Linked DNA regions of Tamandua tetradactyla. The protein of the gene in region 4 binds, or shares a complex with, the protein of the main gene of each other region. Links are inferred from orthologs where the notes say so. Each region holds a gene or a part of one and is shown on either strand. Other genes may lie near its edges. The genes, in order: BRPF3, JADE3, KAT6A and ING5.

Region 1 (7,602 bases), on a different chromosome or scaffold from region 4:
ATGTTCATACATACAGCACCCATTCACCCTTCCATCTGGTTGATTGGCCACCAAGAGGTCTGGCTGTTCCCTCTGTCTGGACAACCTGCCCGTCAGGTATCTACAAGACTTGCTCCTTCACATCCTTCAAGTCTTTTCACAAACATCGCTTCTCAGAGACTTTCCTTGACATCTCGATTTAAAATTGCAAACCCCCCCCCTCATTCTCCCCATTGCCAGCTACCTATCTTTCATCGTGTTTTATATCCCAAGTGTCTGGAATGGTACCTGACTTAGAAGTGAGCACCAAGTATTTGTTGAATGAAAGGAAAAATCAAACACGTGATCCCTGCCCTTAAGGTGCTGAGTTAAGGACAGAGAAGTAAACAGATCATTACATGTGACATGGGTAGAAATCTAATGTTCTAATGTAACCTAATGTAATGATGTACATAAGGCTGTGGGACAACTAACTCTGGAAAAGGAGGGCTGTTTAAGGCTTCAAAAAAAGGAGAAAGCAACAGCTACCACTTTCAAGCTCTGTACATGAATAGGGGAACTCACAGGTCTAGACCGTCCAGCAACCCATCTTACCATGATCAGAAACCCTATATCCCAAAACCATGCCCAGGGATGAAGTTCATCTCTGAAATATTTATCATATATGGTCTAAGGGCTTCAAAATTACTGTGTGCAGGGTTTTTCCTGCAAAAGCCAGCACTCAGGTCATACTGGCCAGTACTTTTCTAAACAGAAATCCTCGAAGCTCTGTGAGGGGCCCCAAGAGATTCCTGAAGTCATAAATGGTCTGTCTGGGACCCTCACTGGTGCCAAGGCCAAGGAAATCACAAGTGTCAGAGGTAAACTTTCAGGGCATCTTGTACCCTCAAAAGTCCTTCTCTTCTAAAATACTTATATCATGGCTACCCTTGAGCAACAAAGAGAAAGCCTTAAAGTTTCCCGTATCATTTTCTGGATAGAACTATGACAAGCTCTAGGAAACTGTATTAGGCAGTTACTGATGCTATTACTAATAGAACATTTGGGATTACGCTGCCCCAAGGTATGAGTAGACACTTGGATGAGTATAAACAGAGAGAGAATTTCAAGGAGAAAAACAGTTCACATTTTGGTTGCAAGATCTATCATCTTTATCTAGAAAGTACAGACAGTAGTAATTTAGCACACTTTTACACACTACAAAGCCTTTTCATATTTATTATTTCTCACAACCAGCTTGGGAAGGAAAAGAGATATTATCGTCTCCATTTCACAGAAGAAGAAACAGAAGTTCAGAAAGGCTTCACTCAATAGAAAGCTATTAAGTGATAAAGCTATAATATAAACCCAGATCATCTGATCTGCTCCACTCATCTCACTGGGAGGTAAAAATGCTCCAGAAATGTCATAGTCTGGAATCAAGAGAGGTCCTGGGCAATCTAAATTCTAATCTTGGGCCCTATGTGACCTGGAGAAAGTCACTTTCTTTATGTCTCCAAACTCCAGTAGTAGCATAAGAGTTATAGAACTTAACTTTTAAGGATTGATATTTGCTAGTAAAGCATTATTAACATCCTTATTTAAGAAGTCTTCCAGTTACAAAGTGTGCCTGAGACAAACTAAGTAACTTTGCCAAGGAATAGTGCCAAGAAGGCATGCTGCAGGATGAGCCAAAGGAAACAATCACCACAGCAATTCTGTCCTGGTTCCAGAGCCCTTGGCTACCAGAAGCCTTTACAAATGCCAAGTCCTTGGGGACAGCCTGGTGGCAACCCACCCTCACCACCAAAGGCTTGGAGACCCTAACAGAGGTATGAAAATCTACTTCAGTCCTCAAAGTAAACAGTTTGGAGAGAGGGTGTAGGCCCTCCCTTCATCAAAACCACTCTGTCTTCCTCCTCCTCACTGACTACACCCTTGGCAGTTCAGGTATCTCTCAACCTGGTATCTCTGGAGACCTTTCCATTCCAATATCCGAGCCACTAGACAGTGGGGAGTAAACCCTGGAAGGGAAAAGGCTGCTGCTGAGGAAAATGAAATGAGGTCTCGCCCTCAGGAAGCTTACAGTCTAGACGGATTTTTTTGGCGGGAGTTTCTCATCCAACGCAGCCCTTCTCACAAATACACCCCCGAAAAAATCTCCAACCACCCCCGGCACGCACCCCCTGCCCCACTCGCCAACCCCACCGGGGAAAAGTCTCCGAGGATAGAGGAATTTCTGCAACTAGACTGTAACCCGACACCCCACACAAGATACTCGTGGGACAAGAGAAGACCCGGGCCAAGATCCTGCCCCTTTAAGGGGACATCTCTTCCAGAAGAATCTTGACCCCCAGGAGGAGAAAGGAGGGAAATAACATCTCCACCCCAAAAGGGAGGAGGCGAACGCGCCAGAGACAGACTGACGCGAAGTCCGACCCGCAGATACAGAAAGAGAGCGCCAGCGAACCAGCCGGGAAGAGAAGCGGGCGCCCATTGGCCACCGCACCTGCCCGTCAGGGAAACCCGGGGAGGGGGCCAAGGGACGTGCTGCGGGTGGAACTCTACTCTAGCTTGGCCAATTGGAGAGCATGAGGGGGGCGGGGCTCGGTGGCTCGGCTTCCAGGGCCGGTGGGGAAACAAGATGGCGGCTGCAGGAGGGGGTCTCCGCTTCTCAGCTCTCCCCTCACCCGCCTTTCCCTTCCCCGTCGCCGCCCCCGCTCCGGAGAGGGCCTCTGCGCCGCTTCTGCCACGATCGGGAAGCTCCCCGCTTATCCGGTCTCCCGATCCCCGCCACGCCGCACAGTCCCTGGTTCCGAAGGCCCCGTTGCCCCCGCCCCCGCGCAGTCCGGCCTCGCTGCCGCCCCTATTACCTCAGTCGCCGGCCCAGCTCCACTGCTCGGGGCCCCAGGGTGCGGGCGGGTCGGCCGCTGAGCTGGTCGGCGCGGCCCGGAGAGCGGAGAGCGGTGCGCGGCCTCCTCCCGCGCCAGCCCCCGCCGTGTCCCCGCCCGGCCCGCACTGGGGCCCCGGCCCGGCCGCTGCTCCCGGGGGAGGAGGGGGAATGGAGCTGCCACCACCACCGCCGCTGCCGCCACGGAGCCCGGAGCCCGGTGGAGGGGAGGGAGGGATCAGCCCCCAGGCAGGATCCGCCCCTCCGGCCTCCCCCCGCCACCTCCACCCCTTCCCTCGCTCCCTCCCTGGCTCCGCCGGCTCTCCCGCTGCACTGGAGCGAGAGCGCGAAAGAGGGGGGAAACGGGGAAAAAAATCCCCCCGCCCATGCCCGGCGCGGCGGCGGCCGGGGCGGCGCGGAGAGAAGCGTGGAGCCGCCGCCGCCGCCGCCGCCACCGCCACGGGGCACCGTCCCCCGCTCGGCCTCACGGTGGCGGTGCGGACGCGGCGGGGGCACCGAGCGGAGACCGGGTATACGCCGGCAGCTGCCGGGAGTCACCCCGGCCGTGGCCCCGCGGGGCGAGCCCGGCGAGAGAACTGGGGACGTTCCAGTCTAGTTGGGAAAGACAAGAGTTTCTGCCTATTAAAATGGGGTTCAGTCGTCTCCTCCCCCGTCTTTGCGGGGGTAATGATTAAGGTTTTGGACAGAAAACCCCCTCCCCGAGCGGGAGTATACCCCCCCGAAAGGTTAAGCCGCTGGGATTATTGAAGGAGAAACCGGTCTTAGTTTCTTGGGGTGCAGGTGCCTGCACTGCTCCCAGAAGGTCGTCGTTCACCACACACACACACACACACACACACACACACACACACACACACTCCCCAAGCCCAGGTCCCGAGGACAAAGGTCTAGCGATGTCCATCCCCTCCCCCAGTGAGGACAGCCGGGGAAGACCCGCCTCTGTTGTGTACAGGTGAGCGTCTCATTCCTCCCAAGCCATCTTAAGGAACAGACTAGACTTTTCCTTGTATGCCGTCCTCTCCCTTCTGCGTTTAAACTGAGTAAACCTAAAAGTTTGACGGTCTACTTAAGGACGTCTGGTAACTCATTTATCATTCTAGGTATGGGAAACGCGACTCTTAAACCTGATTTGGCTGAGAGTCGGTTAATTAAATGCACTAGGCGGCTTTCTAAAGCATGCTTGACAAATGGCAACTACAGACTTTCAGCTGTAATCAAACTGGCTTTTGTTCTGATAAAAATAAATTGAAGAGAAAAAGGCCCTTTTGCTTACCCCTTTTTACCTATAAATTGGAACGCTTACCTTGTATGACTGAAGTCTTAAGCACCAATATTTAATGATGTTTATAAAGGATGTAGGGATAGGCTGCCTTTAAATGTGAAGATGAATGACATATTTTGAAAGCGTTTCCTCTGTCGGCTCTGGTGGTGTAGCTTGAGACAATTTCTTGCTTGGTTCTGATAACCAAGGACATTTGTTATTGTCAGGAGGATGAAGGGTGAAGTCTTAAGATCCAAGCACTGTTTTCCAAATATTTTAACTGAACATAGCGCCACTTTTGAAGTATAGATGTCCTTTATCCTAAGGAATTAAATATACAGGGTTTTGCACTTAAACGTTAGATAAAAATAAGGAAGCCAATTTATGTTACAAAGAATTTTCAGGTTAGCTTCATAGTACGTTTTAGCAAAATGATAATATAAAAATATTTCTATTAACCAGTTTTAAAAAAGAAAGAAAGAAAGGGGAGGGGCTTGTGGAGCTAAGCTCGCTCTTGCTCCAGTGCAGCGGGAGAACCTGCGGAGCCAAAGGGGAGCTAGGGCAGTGTTTTGAGAGTTGTGAAGATGAAGTAGTATGAATTAAATTCAACTGTTTTAAGGCCAGGGGGAATAATCATTTGGTGGGAAGGTATGAAAGAAGAAATGTTCAACTGTGGAAGGGAAAGCCCCGGAGGCAAGAAAAGTATCGCAATTACTTTTAGTTAAGAAAAAATAATCTGATAACTAACAAAAACAAAAATACTGAATTTCTTGTTCTTTTAAAATATGGAAACAGTATCCACTTATTCATATGACTAACTTTTATTTCTTGATGGATATTCAAAATTGATTTAGCACAACTCCCATTTATGTGATTGAAAGCTATCTTTTCTCACTAAAATGAATAAATGAGTACCTTGAGAATATGCATTGGTTTCCACTTGAAACATGAGAGTAATGATTTTAATGCTGTTGAAATGCATTAAGACAATCTAATGCATATGATTTTAGGTTTTTCTATTCAGAAGCTTTCTTATTAAGACGATATTCAGCCTAAGTGTTTCTATTTGCTATTCAACTTCCATTTTTTTAATGGTAACATTAGTTGTCTTCACTTTCGTTTTTGACATTTGCAATTGGTTATTATTAGTGTAACTGCACACACAACCAATTTGCTATGATGTAATCTTAAATGTAACATGTAACAATTATATCATTGAAAACAAATTTGAAATGTGTATCAGAAATCCCAGAGGCACTAAATTTAATTCACTTTCATCATTAGCTTTTAAAGACTTTAAATACATCAACCCTGGCCTTCAATTAGGCCATACAGCAATTAAGTTCAATGAATAGGGGCGGGGTCTTTGATTCTAAATGCTAGTCTTTAAAGTGCTGTCTCTTTTGAAATAGAAATTAACATCAGGAGAATGTTTTATCATTTAAGACTAAAAGAGTGAACGTGAGTACAAAAGGTACACCCACACCCCCATGTTTTTTAGCATCTCGGACATCTTTGTCAACATTTTACTATTATTCTTAAAAATTTTGTTTACCGAGGCAAGAACATTCTTCAGGGTTATGTTCAATATCCACTGATTTAAATAAAAATAGACTTTGACTGATTGTTAAATTATTTTTAATAGACTATTCCTCATTTAGACCTTGGGTAAAAGAATTCTAGAACCACAGGTTGGGAAGAATGTGGAAATTGGAATCATTGTGATATGGTGTAATGAAAATGGTTTAAGAATACGAAGTTTGCTTAGAAAAAGAAAAAAGTTTAGTTAGGCTAACAACAGATTTTAAATAGAGCACCACATTCTCTAAATTAAATTCCATTCATTTATTCCTATAATAGACATTTATTAAGCACCTACTATGTATCCAACGCTCATCAAGACTCTGGAAAATAATGACAAAATCAACGTAGAAAAGGTCTAGTGATCATATATAAAGGTAAGGAAATCGTGGGCTTTGTCTTGAGTAGACTGTAATCAAAAAGTAAGCTAGATTAAAACACAAGATATCAAAATCTGTGGGATGCAGCAAAGGCAGTGCTAAGAGGGAAATTTATTGCCCTAAAAGCCTATATCAAAAAAGAAGAAAGAGCAAAAATCACAGAATTAACTGTCCACTTGGAAGAACTAGAAAAAGAACAGCAAACTAACCCCAAAACAAGCAAAAGGAAAGAAATAATGAAGATTAGAGCAGAAATAAATGAAATTCAGAACATGAAAACAATTGAGAAAATCAACAAAACCAGAAGTTGGTTCTATGAGAAAATCAATAAGATTGATGGACCCTTAGCGAGGTTGACAAAATGAAGAAAGAGGATGCAAATAAATAAAATCAGAAATGGAAGAGGAGACATAACCACTGACCCTGCAGAAATAAAGGAAATAATGAGAGGATACTATAAACAACTTTATGCTAATAAACTTGGCAATGTAGATGAAATGAACAACTTCTTAGAAAGGCATGAACAACCAACATTGACTCGAAATAGACAACCTCAACAAACCGATCACAAGTAAAGAAATTGAATCAGTCATTAAGAAGCTCCCCCAAAAGAAAAGTCCAGGACCAGATGGCTTCCCATGTGAATTCTACCAAATGTTCAAGATAGAATTAGTACAATCCTGCTCAAACTCTTAAAAAAAATTGAAGAGAAGGGAAAGCTACCTAACTCATTCTATGAAGCCAACATCACCCTCATACCAAAGCCAGACAAAGATACTACAGGAAAAGAAAACTACAGCCCAATCTCTCTAATGAATATAGGTGCAAAAATTCTCAACAAAATTCTTGATAATCAAATCTAGCAGCACATTAAAAGAATTATATACCATGACCAAGTAGGATTCATCCCAGGTATGCAAAGATGGTTCAACATAAGAAAATCAATTAATGTAATACATCATATTAACAAATCAAAGCAGAAAAACCACATTATCATCTCGATTGATGCAGAAAAGGCATTTAACAAAATTCAACATCCTTTCTTGTTGAAAACACTTCAAAGGATAGGAATAGAAGGGAACTTCCTCAACATGATAAAGGGCATATATAAAAAACCTACAGCTAACATCATCCTCAATGGGGAAAAACTGAAAACTTTCCCCCTAAGATCAGGAACAAGACAAGGATGTGCACTATCACCATTGTTATTCAACATTGCATTGGAAGTTCTAGCCAGAGCAATTAGACAAGAAAAAGAAATACAAGGCATCAGAATTGGAAGAAGTGAAACTCACTGTTTGCAGATAATATGATGCTATATGTCGAAAACCCTGAAAAATCCACAGCAAAACTACTAGAGCTAATAAATGGTACAGCAAAGTGGCAGGTTACAAAATCAACACTCAATAATCTGTAGTGATTTTATACACTAGTAATGAACAATCTGAGGGGGAAATCAAGAAAAAAATTCCATTTACAATTGCAACCAAAAGAATAAAATATTTAGGAAT
Region 2 (7,551 bases), on a different chromosome or scaffold from region 4:
TCCAAATGAGTCTACACTTTAACTTCAAAGGTCCCCATAGGAATGTAGATAAAGACTTGTCTTTTGTGGGGTACATGATTCAATACCCAACAGACGGTAAGAGCTTTGCTGCTACTGTTCATGAACAGAGGGGAGGCAAAAATAACCATGGAGGAGTCACAAAGATTCAAGAAAATAGAAAACTCAGTGATAGTTAATATCCTGTAATGATCACTAGTTAACACCCTTTTGTTCATGAAGTTAGCATTCATCACGTCTACCCCACTCATCTTAGATCCTCCCCACCCCGTAACCCAAAACACTTCCACATTCCCAGTCACTATAAGTGGAATAACAAGGAGAAACTTGTGAACTGTCAAGTGCCCCCATATTAGACATTTCAGGAAAGCTCCAAATAGGTGTCACATAATACCCACTCCTCACCTAGTAAAGGTTATAGTAAATTATCCCCTAATAAGAGAGTTTCTTAATGTGTAATTCAGTATATGACCTTTATCTTCCTCAGCTACCATGTCATGTTAGCTCCATGAGGAGGTACATGGATTATGCCCTATGATAATGTTCAATCTCCTTTTTGGCCCTTATCTCTGCACCCTGGAATAAGACTTTTAAGGGTCTTTTGTAATGCCATGGTTTCAAGAACATCCGACCCCTTTTGCCACCTCCATCTCTCCTCAAAAAATGCATGCCCAGTTCCAACCAGACCTCATAGTAATGGACAAAAAGAAGAGATAGCTTTGTGTAGCTTAGGAAAGAAATGGGTCTTTATAGTTGGTACAACACAAGGGAGGGAAAAGATAAGCAGTGGATCATGCTCAGTCTACAAGCCTCCCATTTCAACATCCTTTGCTTTGTATTTTAACTCTTGCCAACCCACACTTCTCGACTATGATGAAAGCCCTGCACCATCACCTGTCCTGTTCCTGATAACGTCCTCTACAGTCCACAGGGTTAATCTCCTCTATAGAAGGTCATCAGAGGCTTCCCCAAGGTTGCTTCCAAGTCACTGCTGGCTCTCAGCTCATCACCAACACTTCAGGGAGGAGCTGGGAAGCCGTTTCTCCACTTTCCCCTACCTGTGATCAAGAAGGCATTTATTTCACATTGCCAAGACACTGCAACATGACTCACAAAAATGGGGAGAAAGAAAGCATGAATTCTAGAACCAGAGCTGCACCCCTGAGTATTCCAGAATTCATTGGACAGAGCATGAAGGAACTATTTCAAGGTGACAATATTGCATTAAAGGCTCTTCTATTTAGCAAACAAAACTATGAAGATCACAGTTGTAGAGAATGTGGCAATGATGGTAGCTAACATTTGATTGAGAACTTAATACGTGCTGGGCTTTAAGAAGTGCTTCCCTAAGATCTCATGTAATCCTCTCACCCCTTGAAGAGATGTATTAATCTTTTACAGTTTAAGTATTTAAGCTTAGACCCCATTTTAAATGAGAAAGAAAATATGTCACGAAGGTTGAATAGTCCTGGGCTAAAAAAAACTTTAAAAACGCACCTATTCTCACTTACGCAGAGTAATCACATGATGCTACAAAAGCATGAGAACTACAATATTCAAGGGGTGCAAAAGCTGGGATTCACATTTCCATTGTTTACAGATCTTATTAAAGTATTAAACTAAATAAAAACTCCAATACTTTACTCAGGCGGACTCCTCTCTTAACAACTCTCCCCTTTCCCGGCTGACAAGAAGTGGCTGCAGGGAAGATATTTAAGACCTAACTACTCTGAGAAAGTGGATTCTCAGGCTGCTTAAACTAAGCCAAGATGTTGTGCAATCATTTTTTACCTAAATTATTTTTCATTAATTTCAAGAGTTTACAGAGAAGCAGACAGCTATCTGTATCAGACTGAGTACAGGGAATGAGATCACTTTTCCCTCCTGGCCACTGGAATCATCATCAACACGGTTTTACAATGAGGGCGGGGGCGGATCTCAGCCTCAGCTTCAGCTTCATAAACGGATCTCACAATAAAAATAATAACAAAATCTCACGCATACCTGAGACCATGGATTTCCTTTCAACTTAAAATGTCAGAGTAGCTCCCACTAAACAAGTTTCTTGCCTAGGAGCTACATGCCCCAGGGCTACCCGACGATATCAACTTTTAAACAGGCCTTCACAGAACCACCAGTGGTCACTCATTCGAGATCCCGCCCCTTTTTCCTCCTCACAAATAATAAACGCAGGTTATCCTGTGCAATTTAAAGTCAGACTTCCCGAAGCAGCGTTTTTGAAAAGCAGGAGAAAAAGACTGGAGAGAGCCAAATCAATCTATCTCTACACACACATACACAGATTGCCCCCAAGGCGTAGGGACTAAAACCAAGTTGATGGCTTAAGAAAAAAGTTAACTTTGCCGTGCCCAGACAAGGGAGAAATTTCTGGTAAGAGTTGGAAAGCCCTCAGGATTTTCCCATTCCCACGACCGCCCAGCACTCGGCGGCAGCCGACTGGCAGCGTCCGAACAATGACCTGAGGGGGAGGGAAAGTTCGCGAGCCCGCGGGGTGCCCGCCCTCGCGCTCGGTGGGCACTGGGGCCCACCAGCGGCCTCGCTGCTCCCCGGCACCACTGGTCTTCCCCTCTCTAGGCATTCGGTTCTTCCCGCCCCCCACATTCACCTCAGTATCTAACCAGCCAGGGCACGCCCTCTCTCCTCAGAGCATCCCGCCCCAGGCGGCCCGCGGAGCAGATCCGTGCAGCCGCGGATTTGACCCCGCAAACCTCAAAACCCAGCAGAGGACCGGGGCGGGGAAGCACCGGGAAGAAGCACCTGAGAAAACAGCCGCAATAGTTATGGCGCTCAATTCCTGCCCGGTTGGAGCCAAGACAGGCTGCCGACCTCGAGCGTCCGCCCTCCGCGTCCCCCGCGCGGGCCACCAGGCACTGCCTAGCCCGGGAAAGACCTCCGGGAATCCAACTCTGCCCACTCACGCTCTCGGGCGAGGGCGCCGGGCACGCGGGAGGGGACTGCGGTGTGGGGCCGAAGCGGCCCGAAACGTAGCGAGGCAGGGCTGGGACGTTGCGCCCGCGCCGCCCGCTGCGACTCCCTGAGGCCACCGCTCCCTCTGTCGGCGCGACGCCCCGCAACCCTGCTAGCCCCGCAGCTGGCCTCGGTGGCGCCTACCTTCGCTCAGCGGGGTCGCGGCTCCTTCCCGTCTCCACGGTAGGGCCCGGCAATGTGCCGGGCGAGTCTGGTAGGGATGGTAACCGCCCCCCTACCCGCTTGCTTTCTTCTCTCTCCTCCCTCGCACCTGCCCCCAATCCCTCCCTACCCCCGCCCCTCAGCCCCGGCCGCCTGATCCGCTAGGGCCAGCCCCCCGCAACTCAACTCCCGCCCTCGGCCCTCGTCAACCCGGCCCGTCAGGCCTCAGCGCTGGGCAGCTTGCGGTTGGGCGACGGTGGCGGCGGCCGAGGCGGCGCGCAGCACTATTGTATTCCTGACACTGTGCGCTCCCACGCTCCGCCTCTTCCCCTTCCTTCCTCCTCCCACCCCCCACCGGCCGCGCTTGCCCTCCCCAACAGGCTCCCTACCGTCTCCTGGCCGCGCGCTCTTCTGGCGGGCGGGCGCCGTCGCCTGCGCAGAGGGTCTCAAAGCTCCGCCCACCCAACGCTCCTGCACTCGCGACACTTGTCCTTCAGGTGGGTTCTTCACCCCTCCTGCTGGGCGTGCTGCTTCGGGGAGGAGCTCCAGCCAGACTAAAAGCCAGAGGGGACGAGGTGGAGGTGACTTGGCTGTGTTGAAATACAAGCTAAACTCTTTGTGGCCCCTTCTAACTCTAAAGTTCTGTAAGTGGAACTCTCATAGCTCAAAGTCGTGATCAGCCGCCATTGATTTAGGTTATTTGTACTTTAATTAGCTATAATAACAAAATCATAATGGCTGTTAACAGACTTCATTTATCCCATTGCAGGCACTAATGATTTATGGTGTTGTGTGGCTTTTTGTGTGTCTGCTTGGCAAGACTGTAACCTCAAATTATTCATTCCAACACTGATCTAGGTGTTATTGTAAAGGTATTTGGCAGATATAATTAAAGCACTTAATCAGACGAATTAAAGTTAGATTATCCGGAATGATCTGGGTGAGCCTGACTGAATCAGTTGGAAGGCCTTAAAAGCAAGGCTGACATTTCAGAGAATATTGGAGAGAAATTCCGCCGTATGCTGAACAGCTTTGGCCTGTGCCCGTGGGTTCTAGCCTGCTCACGATCTCTCCTATCTGACCGATGGACTACTCTACAGATTTTGGATTTGCTTAATCAGCCCCCACTATACTTTGAGCCAATAGTTTGTAATAAATGCATACATTTATACATAAAAACATTAATGCATTGTATATAAAACCTATGTATTTTTGCTTCTCTGGTTAAATGCAGACATACAGATGTTTCAACAACCAATCTTTTAAATTTACCTATCTGGGTTTGGAAGTATACCATGTGCAGTTGCAATGAACTCATATAGCCATTTTCCCATTTGCATTTCTAGGATAAACAATAATATAGGCTCTTTGATATTTTGTTTGTTTTCCATATTAAAGACAAAAGTGTTTCATGATATACAAAAGTGTAAGTTGTAAAATACTTCAGACTTAACCTCATTCTATTGTACTTATTTTGAAATAATTACATATTTACAGGAAGTTGCAAAAAATACTACACAGAGGTCCTTTGAACATTTTATCCAATTTCCCCCAATGGTGACATCTTACATAACTATAGTACAATATCAAAACCAGGATATTGACATTGGTACAATCCAAAGAACTTATTCAGATTTCACCAGTTTTACATGCACTTATTTCTGTATTTGTGTATATAGTTCTATGTATGTGTTCTCACATATATAGATTCGTATAACCACCACAATCAACTGTCCCTCCACCACAAAGTTTCCTCCTGCAGTCCCTTCGTAATCACAGTCACCCTCTTCCCTCCTTCTAACCCCTGGCAATCCATAACATATTCTCCATCTCTATGGAACAACATTACATAAATGGAATCATACACTATATAAACTTTTAAGATTAGTTGTTGTCCCTCAGCAATAGTCACTTGAGATCACCCAAATTATTGCATATATCAGTAGTTCATTCATTTTTATTGCTGAGTAATATTCCATACTATGAATATACCATAATTTGTTTAACCATTCATCCTTTGAAGGACATTTAGGTTGTTTCCAACTTTTGGCTATTAAGAATAAAGCTGCTATAAACATTCATATAGAGGTTTTTGTGTGAGCTTAAGTTTCCATTTCTCCAGGGCATATACCCAAGGATATAATAGCTAGGTCATATGGTAGCTATGTATTTAGTGATACCCAAGGATGTAATGGCTAGGTAATATGGTAGCTATATGTTTAGTGTTAAACTAGCATAAGAAGCTGCTAAATTATTTTCCAGACTGGATGTACCATTTTACATTTCTACCAGCAATGCATTAGAGATCCAGTTATTTTACATCTTTGTCAGTATTTGATATTATCACTATATTTTTATTTTAACCATTTAATAGATGTGTAGTGATATCTCATTGTGGTCTTAAATTGCATTTCCCTAATGGCTAATGATATTGAACATCTTTATTTATGTTTATTTGCATCTGTATATCCTCTTTGAGAAAATGTCTGTTCGTGCCTTTTGCCCATTTTCTAATTGGATTATTTGGTTTTTACTGTTACATTTTGAGAATTCTTTATATATCCTCAATACAAATCTTCTGTCAGATAAGTGATTTGTGAATATTTTTTCCCACTGTGTAGCTGGTCCTTTCATCCTTTCAACAAGTATTTTGCAGACCAAAAGTTTTTAACTTTGATGAAGTCCAATTTATCAATTTTTACATTTATGCGTTGTACTTTTGGTAGCAAGTCTAAGAAATCTTTGCCTAGCCCAAGTCTGGAAGATTTTATCTTATGTGTAGTTTTACATTTTACATGATTCATTTTTAAAATTTAATTTTTGAATAAAATGTGAACATAAGGTCAAGGTTCACATTTTTAGCTGTGGGTGTCTGATGACTCCAATATCATTTGTTAAAATTACTATCTTTCCTCCATTGAATTTCTTTTGTACCTTTATAAACATCAGCTGGGCATATTTGTGTTTGCCTATTTCTGCATTCTCTATTCTGTTTCACAGATCTATGTGTCTGTCTCTCTGTGAATAGCAGAGTCTTGAATAGCATAGCTATAAAGTAAGCCTTAATATAGGTAGAATGATTCCCACCACTTTATTCCTTTTCAGAATTGTTTTAGCCATTCAAGGTCATTTGCCTATCCATATAAGTTTTGGATAAAGCTTGTCTATACCTACAAAACATCTTTCTGTGATTTTGTTAGGAACTGTGTTAAACCTATAGATCAATTTGGGGGCAACTGACTTCTTTACTATATTGAGTCTTTGAATCCATGAATGTGATATATCTCTCCATTTATTTAGATCTTTGAATTCTTTCATCAGCATTTTGGAATTTTCAACATACAGAACCTGTACATGTTTTGTTAAGTGTACATGTAAGTATTTCATTTTCTTTAGCACAATTTAAATGATATTGTGTTTTTAATTTCAACTTCACGTTCCTTGTTCATTATTAGTATATAGAATTGCTTTCAATTTTTTGTATTACTCTTTTATCCTATGATCTTGGTGAACTCAGTTATTGGTTGTAGGCGTTTTCTACTTAGACAATCGTAGTCTGTGAAAATAGGGACAGTTTTATGTCTTTCTTTTCAATCTGTATGCCTTATGTTTCCTTTTGTTGCCTTATTATGCTGGCTATAACTTTCTGTACTATGTTGGATAAGAGTGATGAGAGTGGACATCCTTGCCCTGCTCCTGATCTTAGGGGGAAAGCGTTCAGTCTTTCACCATTAAATATGATATTAGCTGTAGGATTTTTGTAGATGCTCTTTATCAAGTTGAGAAAGCACCCAATATTCCTAGAATGCTGAGAGTTTTTATCATGAATGAGTGCTGAAATTTGTCAAAAGCTTTTTCTGCATTTATCAATATAATCATATATAATTTTTCTTGTTTAGCTTGTGGCTATGGTAGGTAGCATTTATTGAACATTGATTTTTGAACCAACCTTGCATACCCAGAATAAACCCCACTTGGCCATTGTGTAATTCCTTTTATACCTTGCTGACTTCTACATCGCTAATATTTTGTTGCAGATTTTTATGTCGAAGTTCATGAGAAATAAAAGTCTGTGGCTGTTTTTGTTTTTGTTTTCTGTACTATTTTGGTCTGATTTTGGTATTAAGATAATTCTGGCCTCATAACATGAGTTGGGAAGTTGCACAGAAAAGAGTTCACATAGCAGGCCCTTGGCTGGTATCTGGGCACTTGGATTTCAGGAGGGTTTGCACCATTCCCTGAACGGATAAGAGTGGCTCGCTGTGCCTAAATTATTTGTGCAAATAGTATGGTTTATGCTGAATGGCTGCTTTCCTTCTGGGAGTCTGAAATTTTGGTAAATGCTAGGCAGAGGGTGCCTGTATAACCAACCCCCAGTAAGAA
Region 3 (8,688 bases), about 63 Mb from region 4:
AGAAAAGCCAAGGAACCCAAAGACTGCCCGCTAGTTAGAAGATACTGGCTCTGGGAGGAATCAAGCCTATTAACCTCTGAAACTGAGAACCAATAAACTCCTGCTGTTAAACCAACTTATTGTAAGGTATTTGTCTTAGCAGCCAGGAAGCTGAAACAATGGGCATAAGGTGTGAGTCTCAATAGTTTTTGACAGAACCCAGTAAAAGGTCCTAAAAGGCAAAGATATTAATAGAGGTTTTGACAGTTAAGCAGGGTTAGAGAGAAAGCAAACTTAAAGAGCAGAGGGGCCAGATTTCCAGTTAGAAAGGCTGGGTAAATAACTGAGCCCAATACTCTGCCAGTTTCCCTCAAGTCACTTGCCAAACTTTGATGATCCATCAGAAGAAGATTAAAAAGCCAAGCAGAAAACCTCTGAAAGGCAGAATGGAGTCATCTGAAAGGAAGAATGGAGTTTCAGGTGGTCTCATGGTGCTGAAGGAATAAGTTTTAGAGTTTAGTTTCCACTGGGGTGAAGCCTCTGGAGCACACAAGGTTGGAACCCATGCTGTAGGATTAGAGGCAAAACAGAGATAAATAAGCCTTGCTGAAATCCAATCTCAAAGTAGCTCAGTTTTCTGCTTGAGTAAGGTAATCAACTATCATTCTGACTGCCTTGCAAAGGAAAAGGTGAACACTCTCTAGATAAAGATAATATTATCTAGATTCTCTACAGTTTTTCATACTTAATATGTGGCATTCTATTAAAAATTGCCGCAGGCAGGTCACGAGACAGGGAAATAATGATCAAAAATCAAGGTAAAGTATAATAAAAGAAAAAAATAATAAAAAAATAAAAAAACAAATCAAGGGAGAGTATACATAATAGAAATAGACTTACAGGAGATCCAGATATTATAATTACCAGAAAAGGCTTTTAAATTACTAGGACTGGAGGTGTGATGGTAGTTCAGTGGTAGAATTCTTGCCTGCCATGTGGGAGACCTGGGATCAATTCCTAGCCCATGTACTTCCCAAACAAACAAGCAAGCAAAACAAACAAAATTCAAGAAACGTTGCTGCAATGAGGGGATACTCCATTGGAAAAAGAATGAAATGTGACCCCTGCCATACAGCATACAAAAGAAAAATAAAACAAAACAAAAAGCTAGGACTGATATGCTCAAGAAAATAGAGGGAAAGATGGAGAAAATAAATAAAAAGATGTAGCATTTCACCAATGAACTGGATATATCTTTAAATCCTATGAAAACTGTAGAATTTAAATACACAATGACCAAAATTAAGAATGGGTTTAAGAGCAGATTAGACAGATGAATAGAAAACCTACAGACTTACACACCAAGAGAGAAAAAAGGAGCAAAAAAAATGATGGGAAATACACATGGTGAACAATGAAAAATTCTGACATATATAATTTAAATCCTAGAAGAAAAAGAGAGACAAAAGATAAGCCACAAATTTAAGGGATCCCATGAGTAATAGCCATTTGTTCATGAAGCTAAGTGTACTGAACACAAAGAAAACCCAATCTAGACACAGCCTAGTAAAACTGTCAAAAATCAAAGAAAAAAAATCTTAAAAGCAGCCACAGGAAACAAAAACCATTATCTTTAAAGTTGTAACAAAGGATTGCTGAAACTAGAAGACAGTGGAAAGACAACTTTAAGGTGCTAAAAAAAACTTGTCAAACTACAATGCTATCCCCAGCAAAAATATGAAGGAGAAAATGAAGTTTTTAAACAAACTTCCCTACCACAGCCTTCCTTTCAAAACATCACCTTCTGACTCTGCCTTAACTTTTTTTACTTACTTATTTTTCCAAACTTCTGGAGTATTGACCATTTATCCTATTAATTTGGCACTTGGTATATGACATATTCCCAGATAAATTAAAGGCTCTTTTACCATGCCTCCCCATATGAGGAGAATTTTGTCAAGAGTAGACCTGCTCTCAAAAGAGAAGTATTCAAACAAAAACAAAATGATTCTAGATAGACGTATCGGACAAAGGTCATGGATTCTTCTGCCTGACGCTCTCAATAACCAATTCCTGAGACACCAGGGTTTCAAAGAGAGAAAGAGATTATTACTACACGTGTAGTAATACAGCAGATGGCCTAATGGCCCAAAATCTGTCTCCCCAAACTGCAGCAATTCAGGTAGTTTTATTAGAAGAAAGGTGGGCGGGGTTTAGAAGAATGAGTACTGTGTCCCAGATGATGTAATTACAGGTGATTTGATTACTGAGTCTGTACAGATTGATTATATGCCTAGTCACCGAGTGTATGAAAGAAAATGGCAGAATGGGGTATAGGTGACTTGTAGGTCAAAATCTAAACCACTGCGCAAGTTGGGTGGGCCCACTTAAGTTAAATCTAGTCTTGGTCATCAAGATAATTTGGGACTTGGGGTGAGTTAGTTCCGGGTGGACCCAAGACCCTCCAATAACAATCATAAGGGGCTAGCTTTAGTGATTACAAGGCTCTAAAGTTGAAAACCTGGATACTTAGGTACAAATGAAGGTTAGTCACAAAGTTTTTACAATCACAGGGGCAGAAGATAAAGGCTATACAATCATTATCAGAGATCAAGGCAGCAGCTGGATTACAATTCAGAGATTTCAGAAATTTCCCTGACTTTTCCAATATTCCAGAAAGCAAAAAGGAATATTTATATAACGATTCACCAACCAAAACCATCCCTTAAATCCTGATTTCTCGGTTACAGAAGCACACAGTGGAATGAAGAGTAACATAAATGGCAAATATGTAGGTAAAATAAATATTCACATGGATCGACAATACAGAATAATAATAATTACAATATCTTGTACAGCTTAAAATATATTCACAATTAAAATGCATAACAGCAATAAACACATAAGGAGGGGGTAAATGGAGGCAAAGTATTCTAAGGTATTCTTTGGTAAGTCATAAAAGTAATATTATATTAGAGTGTAAGGAGTCAAAAAAAGGCTTTTTGTAATCTCTAAAACCACTAAAAGAATATGTAATTCAAAAGCTAATGAGGGGGTTAGTGATATAATCGAAATACTTCAATGAATTTGAAAGAAGACAAGAAAGAGTAAGAGATAAAAGAGGTGGGCCAACTTGAAAAAATAATAGGATGGAACACATAAATCTAAATACAGCAATAAGTATATTAAATATAAATGGACAAAAACTTTTCCTATTAAAACCTGGTCAGACTAACCTTCCAATTTTGGGATGAGCTGGACTATAGATAAAACAATTATCAACTGCATCTGGAAAGGCAGGAATTTCTAGAGCAAAACGTGGAAGAAAGGAATAACATTTAGCTGCCCCCCAGGGCTGAATTCTGAATAAAGGTTGAACTAAGGAAAACTGCCTTCTTGGAGCTGAAAATTGTTTTCTAACTTGCAAAGGAAGAGGACTTTCATTTGTTGGTGTTCTAAACCTTTTATTTTGAGGAGACCCCCAGAATGTGCCATTTAGTTATGCAAATGTAAAGCAAAGACTCTCTAAGAAAGCTGTTTGAAAAGCTAAACTGTGCTTTGTTATTGCAAATCGTTTTAAATTCTTACTGTACTGTGTTTAAATCCCAGTCTGGTCTTTTCACTGGGGATGGATATGGCTGGTTTTCTGCCAAATTACCCCAGAGCAAGCACAACTGTATTTTCTTCTGAACACAACACACTCCAGTAACACATTTTTCTATTAGTATGATTTTCTCTGAGACCTCAAATAATAGCTTGCCTTACTCTCATAAATGAAAATTTGCTGTTTTCTGGATGCGTTTTTAACACGGGGTCCCCATTTTACCTGTATGGAAGATATCCTTTCTAATAGATTATCTTGATTCCCAAATTTCTCCCCTAGTTTGGGGATGGAGCTTGGAAGTAGGTCATGAAGGGTGATTCAGTGTCAGAATATTGAGTGAGCCAAACCATTATTTGAAAATTTAAGTTTTTTGTTACTAATGAATCGTCTCGACAGTCTATGGTACAGAACAACAAGGCTTGAGTGGAGAAGGGCAACAGATAGCAAAGCATGGGTTGGTATATGAACAAGACAGGACTTGAGGGGGATGGTGATGTCATCTCCTAGTGGTTTAAAAAAGGTTCATTCATTTTTGAGTTTCTATTATTTGTACAACAGGCTAGGCAATGAAGATGCAAAGAGGCATGGTATAAGAGCCTTTAATTGATCTGGGAATATGTCATACATCAAGTGCCAAATTAATAGGATAAATGGTCAATACTCCAGAAGTTTGGAAAAATAAGTAAGTACCAAAGTTAAGGCAGAGTCAGAAGGTGGTGTTTAAAAGGGAAGGCTGTGATAGGTGTTAAGGAGGACAGCCTAGGCAGGGGCACAAAACAGATAACAGTTCAGTAGCAGGACTATATTTCCACATAAAAACAGTAAGCATTTACTATATCTTTTCATTTGTCATTCACTGTCTTTCTAGCGAATGTAGAAAAAATGTATGACAATCTCCGCCTCAAGGAGTTTAAATCTAGGTGAGAGTCAAGACAAAGAAACACATGCAGCTATGAGAGGACAGAGAGACCACAAAAAAGTGCCAATTTATGTTAGACAGAAGTAATTCTGCACAGGGCATGAACAGAACGCTGGTTTTGGAATAAGACAGAACTAGGCACCAAACTCAGATGTGTCTCTCTACTGGGTGTGTGACCTTGTGCAAGCCACATGACCTGAGTCTGTGCTTATTCCTATAAAAGTGGCTCGAGTAAAGGCTAACGACTCTTTCGGCTGTTGTGGGGGAGGATGAAGTGAAGTCCTGTAGTGAAAACGCTTGACATAGGTGCCTAAGTTCAGCCTCGCCTACCCCGCTCCCCCCCCCACCCCCTCCCCCCGCCCCATTGCGCCTATTCTCTTTCTTACCAGCAGCGATGATGATGTCCAGGGTGAGCAGAAACAAAAAGATGAAGGAAGCAGCTTCCTCATTTCTCCCGCCCCCCACCCCTACCCCCCAACTTCAGGTTCTGGGAGAGTCACTGTGGAAGTGGGGTAGGAGCACCGATTGGGGAGGGAAGATCTGTTAACTGTAAATCAGACGCCACCAAGAGTTCTTATCCTGTCCGGCTACCGGATTTCCGTGCCATTCTGAAGCCACCCCACCCATACGCCTGCCCTCAGTTTCCTCAGCTGTGTAATGGGGATGAACAATCTCCTTCTTTTCCCTGGTATCCGCCTGACCTAAACGCGTGAGAAAGACGAGAAGGAGCCCCCAATTGTTGGCCTCTAGCCCCATCAAGTCCTCCTCCCACTTTGGCTTTGGCCTTTTGTATGAGCCCCACGTGACCCACCCGGCCGGCTCTTCCCTTTTGCCCCACCCGCCCTCCGGTCTTTCCCGGCTCACGGTCTAGCTCTTCCCGCTCCCCGACCGTCCCCCTCCCGCGCTTCCCTTTAGCCACCCCCCGACCCCGCACCTCCCTCTCAGGCTGTTCCCTCTCCCTCCCCCAGGCAGCCGTTCCCTCGCGACGCTTCCCCTCCCCCCGCGGCTGTTCCGCCACCTCGCCTCCCCTCCCCCCGGCCGGAGCTCACTGTCTCCAAGATGGCGGTCGTGTCAGTTTGGGGCATCTCCGCGGTCTGGCTCGGGGCCTCGGGATCCCGGCTCTCCTCCTCCTCGGTAAGTAGCCGAGGAGCCACTCCTGACCACCCCCGGCCGCCAATCCTGAGGCTGAGCCGCTCCGGGACTCGCTTCGCTTCCTCGCGGGGTCGGAGGGCCGCTGCAGGCCCAGCCGCGGCCTGCGCCGCCTCCCGCTGCTCTGCGCCAGGCCTCGGGCAGGGGCGCCGCGGCCGCCCCCTCGCGCCGAGCCGGCGCCGGGCTCCCCCCCGCTCTGTGGCTCGCGCGCCGCCGGCCGGCCCCTCACTCATGGGCCCAGCACCCCCGCCTCCCGCCGACCGGGCCCAGCCCGGGGGAGCTGGCGGGTGAGCGGGCAGCGAGCGGCCCAGGCCGCGGAGCCTCGGGCTGGGCTGTGACGGGGAGCTCGGTTTCCCTCGGGGACGCGCCCACCGCCCTGGCCCCACCTGCTCCCGGCCGCTCGCCCCCGGCCCTGTCCGGCCTCTTCTCCCCGCGCTCCCTGGCGCTTGGTTTTAGGTCTCCTGTCCGGTGCGCGGAGATCTGAGCGGGCTGAGGCGGCAAGTGGGGGTGACAGGCTGGCGGGTGTTGTGGTGCGGAGGAGGCAGCACGTGTGGTGTTGTGTCTGTCGGGCTGTCAGCCCCGCTCCGGGAGAGGAAGCGGCACGCTGACAGTCTACCCTCGGCCGGTTTAGACCGGAGCTGCCCGACCTGTCAGACACCCCGGGAAGCCTGTGTGCCCCTCACGCCTCTTTTGAACCGCGCTCCGTGGAGCTTAGTATTTGGAGCAGCTGGGAATGGGAGATATGTTGCTCTTAACTCCTTCACGTGATTTCATTGTTAACTTCTTCGGTTTCTGTTTCCATCTAATGGAATGGCGAAGCAACCCGTTGGCAAGCTGCAGGGTTGTGCCGTTTCAAGTTTTTAAAGTTTCTAGCTTTTTAAAAAGAGAGCACGAAGATGTGTTTGGGAATATGGTATGGGGACCGGGGAAGACTTCCGGAAGCAAGTTGTGATTTCTCTAGCTGCTGGTGTACTTTCAGAGAGTTAATGTTCAAGTCTGCAGGCGCTTTACTTTCTGAAGACCTGAACACTGACGAAGATCCCTGCCCGAGAGACAATGAGTAACTGTCATTCATTCTTTTTACCTTAATCAATTAGGACATTCCTGGCTTCTTAAGCTCAGGCTGTAGCTTCTTACCTAGTTTAGCGTTACTGTCTACATAATGAACTTTCTTGGAGTACTACGATGATTTCTATCCTCTTGAGCCCCTCACCAATATTAGGCTTATTTCTCTCAGGGGTTTTCTTTTTAGTCAGCTGATTTTAAAATAAGTCTTGGCTCAGGTTTGAATGTTTGCGTCAATCTCATCTTACCCATCAGAGTTAATAGTACTATATCTTTCCTAATGCTTATTCGTTTTTTCTTTTGATTTTAATATCACTCCTAAGAATGGTTGTTGTGGGGGCCGTTTTTCTAGCTTTGTTTATGTTGTGATATAAATACTCCTGGAGAAGAACAGAAATTCTAAAAAAAATTAAAAGTTAAATTTATTTTTTGAAAGTATAGGAGTTATTTAGATTCAGAATTCATTATTTTGGTTTATTTATAAAATTTGTATCTGTGTATTTGTATACGAAAGAAGATTCACTTTGATCCTGAAGAGACAATCCTTGCTTATATATTTGTGTTTCATTCATTAATGTTCATTTCAGCACTACAGTCAGCAATCTTGAATTCAAATCTTTGAGATCCATCTCCTCTTTAGACTTGCCAACAGCTAATACATTTTTTCTGCACTGTACATTTGATGTGTAGTGTGTGTACTTGACCTCAGTGACCCTCAGCCTTTCTCATTTCTAGTTTCTCTATCTGTAGATTGGTTAGAAACAATTTGACTGTCACTCCTTCCATTTTATGGGTGTTAGTATTTTAGTTTGGGTTAGAAAAAACATTAAACATCTGTTCTTAAAATTTAGATGAAATTGTATTAATTTGCATTCTTTAAGCATTTTTCCACACTTGGCTATTTTTAGTGTTAATTTGTTTCCATTTGGAATATTTAAGGTAATATTGTACTTAAAATATGAGCTTGGTCTATGTAAATTGTATTTGTTGTTTCTTTTCATGTATGAAATAGTTATATTTTTCAATGTGCTTTTCTACCTTACTGACTGTTTTTATCCAGTCTGAAAATCTGGAGTTTTGAAAGATGAAAGATTCTCTGTTATTTCCTTGCAGGTTTCTTTCTACTAATCCATTTGCTATTCAAGTGCTGAATAGTTTCTTCTTGGGGAAAGATGTCAAGGAGGAGTTGAAATTCGTAGACTGGTGAGCAGCGATTGCCTAGAGACTAGCCAGCACCTTTTTGGTTAGTCAGAGCCTAAGGTCCTTCAAAGAACATCTCATCTTGTTTCTTCATTGTATTCTAATTATTCATTTTCTTTCCTTTCCTTTTTACTCCAATAGCTTACATACATGATTGTTTTAGAATGTTGATAGAAACATTTTAAAACTCCTACAGGTGCTCAGTAAGCATTTGCTGTTTTACTGTTTTAGAAGAGTAGGATATTTCAGTGATAGCTTGTATACAATAGGTCTTGATAGAAAACTGACCTTATTTTAATTGTTTTTCAGGTATAAGATGCACATTTTTCTAATGTGAAGCTGGAACTGAGGTGTTCCTGAGTTCTTACAACTTTATGGAGAGAACCTGGTATGGTGCTGTTATGAAATTTACTGGAAGTGTGAAGACATATCAAATAACAGGTTGTTTTGGTTTCTGAAATAAAGCTAGGGAAGCATTCTGTTTTGCGAAAGGAGAAAGGAGTCAGGCCAGAAAACTTGTATGCTATGGTTAACTGGTTCCCAGCCTCCGAGAATCTTTTTTTCCATGGTGTGAAATTTACGCAGCATCAGGATAAGGGATAACGACTCTATGGATATACAGAATCCTTCACCATGGTAAAACTCGCTAACCCGCTGTACACGGAGTGGATTTTGGAGGCCATCAAAAAAGTGAAGAAGCAGAAACAGCGTCCTTCAGAGGAAAGGATATGCAATGCAGTGTCTTCATCCCATGGCTTGGATCGTAAAACTG
Region 4 (7,841 bases):
AGAAAAAAAACGAAGTTATTCAAAAAAGACCAAGCAAGCCCAGGAGGTGATGTGGTTCAGCTGTGAAGTACCTCGGGCTTGCCTGGGGGAGCAGGCCCCCATATTCGACAGGGTCCTCATACAACTACACCTTGAGACTGGGAGAAATGCAAGAGGAGGCTGATAGGAGTGCCTGGGGGCTGAAAGGGGTGGACATAGGAACAGGAGGTATTGGTCTTCCATAGTATAAATGAACAGATGAAGTTTAAAACCAAAAGGGAAAAAAATAAAGAAATAACAGCAAATATACGTTGTTCAGAAATAGGGAAATCCTATCTAGCTTTGCACACCATGCACATGTAGTTAAAAAACAGAAATTCTTTTAAGAGGAAAGCTAAAAGTAACAAAAGTATTTTGAATGGAAAAGAGCATTTATAGTAAGAGTTATAGTAAGGATCCAAGAAGCTAAATTTGATGACAATTGAATGAGAACTCTGTAGGATACTGGAATACAGCCCCAGCTTGGGGCTCTGCGGCAGACCTGGCCATCTCCCCCAGATGCCCCTCCTAGAACCAGAGCTGGCTTCCAAACGTGCCCACCTTCTGTCCTCTGGTCCAGCTCTCGCATCAGCTGGAAGTTCCTCTGAAGTTCACAGGGAAGGTTCTCGATACCTGAAACACAAAGGCATCAGGCTCTGTGGAATTTATGAGAATAGGACAAAGCTTTGCCTTCAAGGTTTTATATCAAATTCAACAAATAAAAAACTCATTTTCTGTTTCTGTTGGGGCTTGGGAGGGGAGAGGGCTAAAATCTCTTTATTCAGGGTTGGGTACCAAACAACGCTGTCAACAGGCTGCCCACTTCAGGAAGGGAGGAGGTGGAGGTATGCTGTGAAACAGCTGCAAGTAGGACAGGGAAGGAGGCCCAGGGTGGGCAGACATGCCGACTGAGACCCCATCGCCCCCTGGCCACATGCTCACTGTCTAGACAGCAGCACAAGTCCTGCACATGGCAGGAAGCAATCAGCATTGTCCTCTTCCCACAAACAAAACAAAAGGGAGGATTGGGGAGGTCACAGGGCTCTCAGTGGATCCCAACCCAGCCCACCAACCCCACAGCTAGTGCCAGCTGTAGCACGTGCCCTGCCTCTGAGGACAGAGGCACCCCCTGTAAGGCAGAGGCGCACTGGGTTCCGCTGGAGCAGAATGGAACGGCTTGAGAACGCTCCTCTGGCTCATAAGAAAGACTCCTCTCTGAAATCTTTTCTTGGAAAGAGTTGAATCACTTTGGTTCCTAATCAATATAGCTTGAAGGAACAAATAATGCCAGAAAACAAGGCAATTACTAGCAGCAAACTATCTGCAGTTCATGAGGATCTGAAAAACAATAAAAATACTAGTGTTCAGCACAAACTGGAGAGAAGTTCAGACGAAGGGCAAAGCAAGTGCAAAAAAGAGGGGGTGGCGTTAGCTGGATGTGAACAGGGCACAGAGGCTCATCCTCCAGGCCATCTTCATCTTCTACCTCACTGGCCAGAGCCAGATCCCTCTTGGAAGGCCCCTCAAGTACCCGAGATTCCACAGTTCATTCCCCCAACATTTGAACTCATTTCAACACAAATTCTTAATAAGTCCCAGGCACATGGGGGGGAAGGTGGTAATGAGAAAAAGAAATCCCTGCCTCCCCAGGACAGTGTCCATTTCCAACTCTGGTGAATTAACATGGTACTTTCAGTCTGTGATGGCTAGTAAGCAGAGCTCTGGGCAAGTAGGCAGGTTGGGGTCACTCTCCCTGAAAGACAGGTGCTCTGATGCTCTGAGGCTGTGGGATGCAGGCAAGTTACATAATCTTTCTGTGCCTCAACTTCCTCACCTGCAAAGTGGGGATAATGGCGGGACCCTCTGAAGGGTATGGGTGGGTTAAAGATGGCCCATGGGAACTGGACTTCAGTGTTACTCAGTTTTAACCAAAGTTATATTGGAGCCTGCAGCCTTCAACTGCTATACTGAAGGGCCCCATACCACAATGCTGCCCTGGGCCCCACACCACACTCCTGGTCAGAACCCCAGCGAGCCCCTCCCATCCACTCTCCAAAGCCAACCAAGTGAATCCCCAGTCCACCCCGCTCAGGCCCAGGATCTGCTGGGCTGCACCCTCCATCCTACCAGGGCTTTGCCTCTGCCACCTTGCAGGACAGTAATGACCCTGTGCTCTTCACCTACCGCGCTCCTTGTCGCCCTTAGGCTTCTGTGACCCTTCTACAAATCCACCTTCCCCATTAGCTGGTGAATTCCATGGAAGTGGAAGTCATGTCTGCAGTCCTGGCACACCAGCCCCAGTGCCCCTCCTCCTCCTTCCTGGGTACCCACGACGTTGGGGAAACACCTCTACTCCACCACCTCCTTGACTTGGCTTTCCCACCAACCCATGCACCTCTGCTCGGGCCAGAATGGGGCCACCATGCCCTCACTGCCTAGGATCCGGTGCGCCACCAGCATCCTGCGCCCAGGGAGGTGACTTGGGGAGCTGGCCCGGGGAGGTGACCCAGAGAGGTGATCCAGTGAGAAGGTCCGGGAAGGGCACCGCAGACCCGCCCACTCCGGAGCTCCGGATTCACACACCGGGTCCGCCAGCTGGGCTCGGGCGGGTCCCTGCACCTCTCCAGGCCTCGGTTTCCTCGTATGCAACCTGGGAGAGTCGCCATCGACTCAAGTTTCCCCGTGGAGCAAGCCTGTGGTCACATGTAAGGCAAAGGGAGCCGCTCCGGACACGGGCACCGGGGAGAGGCTGAGGGCGTCAGCCCAGGCCAGCGGGGGGACCCGGCCACCGAACGGCCCCCAGCTCAGCAGACCACCCCCTCCCGAGAGGTAGCAACTGAGGCTCGGCGCTGGGAGCCCGCTCTGGTACCAGCTAAGACCAGCGCGTCCGGCTGGGAGGGGGCGCGCGGCCGGGGCGGAGGCGTGGGTGGCCCTGCCCCGCCCTCGGCCCCGCCCCTCCGTGACGCACCTCGAAATCGCCCGGAGCCCGCGCCGCGTTCAGGGCCGCGCCCGCCCCGCCCCGCCTCCCGCCCGCGCGCGCGCGCGCTCGTCGAGCGTCGCCCCGCCAGCCCCCGGCCGCCCTCACTAATCTCCGGCCGCGGCGCGCAGAAGCTACGCGCGAGGAAGCCAGGCGGCAGCGGTCATGCAGCGGCCGGGCCCGGGAGGCGGGGCGGGTGCTTACTGTCCAGGTAGTGCTCCAAGTACATGGCGGTCGCCATCTTCCTCCGCGGCCGCGCTGGGGCTCTGCGCGCGGTCGGCGCGGGTTGCGAGGCGAGGGGCGGGGCCGGCCCGCATCTCATTCACTATTCATAGACCGCGGGCACTGATTGGGGCGCGGGCCGCCGGGGCGGGGCGTAAGTAGGGCCCGCCCCCCAGCTTCCGCTCGGCGCCCTGCGGGTGTGCGCCGCCCCGGGTCTGGGCCTCCGCCGGGTGGGCCGCAGCGCCGGAGGGCGTATGGGCGTAGAGGCACAGTTGGCGTGCGGAGGCCTCAGGGGCTGGGAAGGGAACGGTGGCCATTCTCGCGGTTCTAAGCTCGAGGCACCCGGTGTGCACCTCCAGCCTGCACCTGTTCGCGGCCGACCCCTACTCTGGTCATCTGGGCTAACACGTGCAGGCTCTCGGCCCCCGAGGTGTCGGTGAATCCTGTCTGTCATTCCCAACCCCACCCCACCGTCTTGTCGCACCGCAGTCTTTCCTGCCGACCCAGAACTGGAGGAGGAGCCGAGGGCGGACGGCCACCTACGAGCCAGGGAGAACTGCCTGTACCTCCCATCTCTGGTCTTGCCGCTCCGATCGAACTACTTGGGCCTCTGCTTCTTCCCTTAAACTTGCAGAGGATGTGACCCACCCCTCCTCACCCCTCCACTGGCAGTAGCTGCCCCCACAGCATCAGCCTTGGCATCTAATAGACCCACTGTCCAGTCCACTTTGGGGTCCCTTGAGCAGTACCTGTCACGTGGAAAGTGTTGAGAGTATGACTGAATGCAGCCTTTGTAACGATATGATTCAGTGTTAAAGGAATGAAAGAGCGTGAAAAGGTGTATCCTGAAGTGGATGTAAGAGTGCTGGAGGAGAGTAAAAAATGGGTTTAGAAGGTGCAATTCGGGATGATGCTTCCCTTCTGTGTCCAGACTCTGATGTCCTAGCTGCTGGTGCGCCCCTGGACCCAGGTTCCTCCACTCCCTGCCGCCCCAGCCTGGCCTCCCTAGCTGATTTTTAGGCAGAGGACTACCCTTGGGTGATGTGGCCACTTCCAGGGCCAGCCCCTATTCAGATAATTTCTCCTCGCTCAGAAGTTAGCCCAAGGTAGAGATTGCCCAGGATGTTCCCAGCCCTGAGGGGACAGATGACTTATAGCCAGAACTAGCCTGAGCCCCAGGTCCCTTCCCACAGTCCACATGAGTTGCTGAGGCTGTGGGTCACCCAAATTATCATAACCTGACAGATGCAGATGTCATGATTTTGTCATTTAAAACCTATTCCTAAAGGTAGGCCCCCCTTTGTGAACTGTTCCGCAAACTGCAGGCAAATACTGCAACAGATACATACACGTTCTATTGCCAATTTTCATTCATTATTTCCTACCTCCTGAGGGTGCAGGACTGTGACTGTCTTGCTCATCTTAGAATCTAAATGATTGCAGTTTGGGGAGCACCCGTCCAGGCCCCATTTAATGCTTGCACAAAGAAACACACGCATGCACATGGATTTTTAATGTGATCGCACACTACCCATATTTCTACTACTCGCTTTTATAACTTAATACTCTGACCATGAACTTCTGGCCCCCAAACCTTAATTCTGTCTCATCCTGATTACTGGATAAATTTTACTGTGTTGATGTATCAAACTGTGTTTAACAAACTCCTCACTAATATGGTAATGATTTGACTCTTTCCAGTTCTTCATTATGATAAATAATGCCCTGGTGAACATCCTCATGCATATGTTCCTGTATGTATCCTTCTGTTCTAGGTGTGTATTGTTGCGTAACAAAGTACCTAAGAATTCAGTGCTTTAAAACAACCGTCTCTCAGGAATTCCAGCAGGGCCAGCTGGGTGATTCTTTTGTTCTGTGACCTGACAGAGACCACCAGCTTCCTTTGGGATCCTGGTGCATTGGCAGGGTTGAAAGGCAGGGTTCAGCTGGGACTTTGGGTGCTAACACAAGGGCTGGTCCTGCTGTGGGCATGGGGGCAGAAGGCAGCAGGACCCCCCCAGGGAGGTGCGTGTTCGTACCGCAATGTGGTCTGCCTTAAACACGAGGTGCTGGCTGCCCACACAACCAGGTCACGTGCATTTGGACACCAGCAGGGGCCTGCAGGGGCTGCTACCTCAGCTCAGAAGAAGCCACAGGGCAGAAAACGACACACCAGTGCTGCTGAGGTAAGGGCTGCTGCTGAGGTAACTTGGGGGTTGGCAAGTTATGATGGGTAGCAATGTCTATCTGAAGCTTGTGTAAGAGCAACCTCCAGAGTAGCCTCGACTCTTTATTTGAACTCTCTCAGCCACTGATACCTTATTTGTTACGCTTCTTTTCCCCCTTTTAGTCAGGATGGCTAAATTGCTCACAACTGGTTGCTCAGACCATGGCTGGAGCAAGAGGTGGGCCTAGAGAAGGCAAAGTGGGCACAAGGGCAACCCCACGAAATGATAGGGGTGCTAGGGAGGGCTTCCTGGTAAACTGGGGTGTGGCTGGAGGCAGGTGAAAGTCAACTGGCCATGAGTGTATAATTGCCGAAGCTGGCTGATGGCCACACAGGGTTCACTAGGTTCTTCTCTCTACGTTTGTTTGAAGTTTTCCATTAAAAAAGAAAGTTAAAGGAGCAGTAACATCCAGTCGTTGGTCCTTTGCTGACATTTCCATCTCACAGGAATTGTGTCAGACTTTGCTAGCTATCCATTGAATCTCACCTGCTGCCCTGAGGACCCCACTTCCCAGCCCCTGTGCAAGTAGAGTGGCCACCAGTGGCATGGGACAGAAGTGGGTATCCTCTGCACAGTCGCCCTCAGACAGCAGGTTTGTGTCTTCCTTGATGCACTCCCCCACTTCACTACTCCCCACCTGGCCACGCCAACTACGGTGAGGCCCCTGGGTGGAAACGACCAAAGAAGGATTCTGATTCCTTGGGTGACCCCATGGAGCAGGTTGCACACCGACCAGGAATGCCACAGAAGAGAGAATTAAAACCCTGCCTTTACTAAGTGGGATTTCTACATTACAGAGGCTTAGGTTACCCCAAAGTGGTGGTCCTTAAAGGGAGGCTGGAAATGTCTGGAGATGTTTTGATGATCCCAGCTCTACGCAGTGGGTAGGGGCCAAGGAAGCTGCTAAACTTCTCTCAGGGCACAGGACACCCCACCCCACAGAAGCATCCCACTCGAAATGCCAACTTCAGGATGAGCTCCCAAGCAAATTGGGATATGGTGCAATGCCCATGGTGGTGGTGCGGAGTGCTGAAAAGAGGAAGGAGCTGGGCCACCAGGGTCTTGGGTCTTGAGTAGCTGGGGTGCAGGGAATATCCTTTGGTTGCAAGAATTTGCTCAAACTAGCACAAGTAAGTGATTTGCCTCCAACTGTACCTTCGCCCAGCTGGTCACCCCTCTTTGATCAGTTAGCATGCCTTTAGCTGCAAGTACCAGAAAACCAGCTGTGGCTCCAATCGTCACATAAAATGGTCTCACATAATAAGAAACTTAGAGTGAGAGTAGAACCACTTCTGCCAGTTGGTGCTGTCAAGTGTTGAGGTTGTTGCAGTTCCGTTGGCTTTTCCGGATTGCCGGGTGGCTGCAGTACTGCCTGGCACCCAGTTCTTATGTCCTCGTCCTGACGTGGGTGTAGGAGTCCCTTTGTGGGGGACACTCAGCCTCCTTTGTGCTTTTGCTTTGCTTTGGCAATTAAATCTCAGACCTGATGCTCAGCAGCCTGGAGCTGTAGAGGTAAAGGGCTATGAGTGTCGCCTTTCGCAGGACTCAAACTTGAGAACTTGCTGTGCTGGTCCTGCCTTTTTCTTTGTGTAAGACATGAAAAGTGGTTAGCCGAAGCCGGCCACCTCCACATCCCCATAATCGTTGTATTCTCCACACAACTCAGGTGTTTAACTGCTTCACCCTCCATGCCGCATCCCAAACCACCCCCAGCGAGAGGCCATGGAACCATGAGGCTGCCAGGGTGCCTGGGTTAGCACTGCCCGTCACCACCAGCAAAGGGGTCTGTGTTGTCGTGTCACTGGGGAGGGGGCCTGTCCCAGATCCCAACCTTGAGAGGCTGCTTTCCTGATGCCAACTGTTTCTCCAGATTCACCCAGAAAGCAGAACCTGGACCATGCCTGCAGGCAGGGGGCTCATTTTGGAAAGTGATCCCTGGGAGTGGGAGTGAAGATGAGGTCTGGGGCAAGTGGAGCAGAGAAGGAGGAAAGCCGTTACTGGGCCTGCTCCTTCAGTGATGCCCCTGAAGATGCCACACCCCAATCCCTAGAACCTAGGGATATCACCTTACATGGGGTGTGTGTGGTGGTGGTGGTGGGGGTTGACTAAGGACCGTTAGGTGGGTGGTTGTCCTGGGTGGTCTGGACAGGGCTGTCTGGGCCCCTGCCTAACCTGAGAGTTATCTTCCTTGTACTTATCCTTTTCAGGTCAGTCAGATGGGCATTTTAGAAAAAGAGGCAAAAATCAGACAAAGGGATATCCCTTTTATTTTTTTTACCTAGTAAGACAATACCAAGCAGTAGTCGTATCAGTCAGCGTTCACTTGTTTGTGCTGCAGTAACAGAGGATTCCAAAATCTCAGTGACATGCAATCACAAAGGTTTCTTCTTGCTCCT

The links.
Region 1: ING5 (region 4) and BRPF3 share a complex: the UniProt entries of both Homo sapiens proteins name them as parts of the MOZ/MORF complex. The link is inferred for Tamandua tetradactyla from reciprocal best matches to the Homo sapiens genes ING5 and BRPF3.
Region 2: ING5 (region 4) and JADE3 share a complex: the UniProt entries of both Homo sapiens proteins name them as parts of the HBO1 complex. The link is inferred for Tamandua tetradactyla from reciprocal best matches to the Homo sapiens genes ING5 and JADE3.
Region 3: ING5 (region 4) and KAT6A share a complex: the UniProt entries of both Homo sapiens proteins name them as parts of the MOZ/MORF complex. The link is inferred for Tamandua tetradactyla from reciprocal best matches to the Homo sapiens genes ING5 and KAT6A.

The regions. Positions count from the first base shown.
Region 1 is NC_135331.1:92,936,672-92,944,273, reverse strand, and holds the start of BRPF3 (bromodomain and PHD finger-containing protein 3), read right to left. Parts: upstream 3,248-7,602; 5' UTR 2,832-3,247; intron 1-2,831. UniProt on the Homo sapiens protein: Scaffold subunit of various histone acetyltransferase (HAT) complexes, such as the MOZ/MORF and HBO1 complexes, which have a histone H3 acetyltransferase activity.
Region 2 is NC_135353.1:123,516,448-123,523,998, forward strand, and holds the start of JADE3 (protein Jade-3), read right to left. Parts: upstream 3,601-7,551; 5' UTR 3,558-3,600; intron 3,453-3,557; exon of another isoform or gene 3,151-3,452; intron 1-3,150. UniProt on the Homo sapiens protein: Scaffold subunit of some HBO1 complexes, which have a histone H4 acetyltransferase activity.
Region 3 is NC_135329.1:17,627,121-17,635,808, reverse strand, and holds the start of KAT6A (histone acetyltransferase KAT6A), read left to right. Parts: upstream 1-5,535; 5' UTR 5,536-5,636; exon of another isoform or gene 5,637-5,779; intron 5,780-7,829; exon of another isoform or gene 7,830-7,919; intron 7,920-8,225; 5' UTR 8,226-8,549; coding exon 8,550-8,688. UniProt on the Homo sapiens protein: Histone acetyltransferase that acetylates lysine residues in histone H3 and histone H4 (in vitro). Component of the MOZ/MORF complex which has a histone H3 acetyltransferase activity. May act as a transcriptional coactivator for RUNX1 and RUNX2.
Region 4 is NC_135329.1:80,714,666-80,722,506, forward strand, and holds the start of ING5 (inhibitor of growth protein 5), read right to left. Parts: upstream 3,285-7,841; 5' UTR 3,237-3,284; coding exon 3,200-3,236; coding exon of another isoform or gene 3,161-3,199; exon of another isoform or gene 3,109-3,160; intron 652-3,108; coding exon 580-651; intron 1-579. UniProt on the Homo sapiens protein: Component of the HBO1 complex, which specifically mediates acetylation of histone H3 at 'Lys-14' (H3K14ac) and, to a lower extent, acetylation of histone H4. Component of the MOZ/MORF complex which has a histone H3 acetyltransferase activity.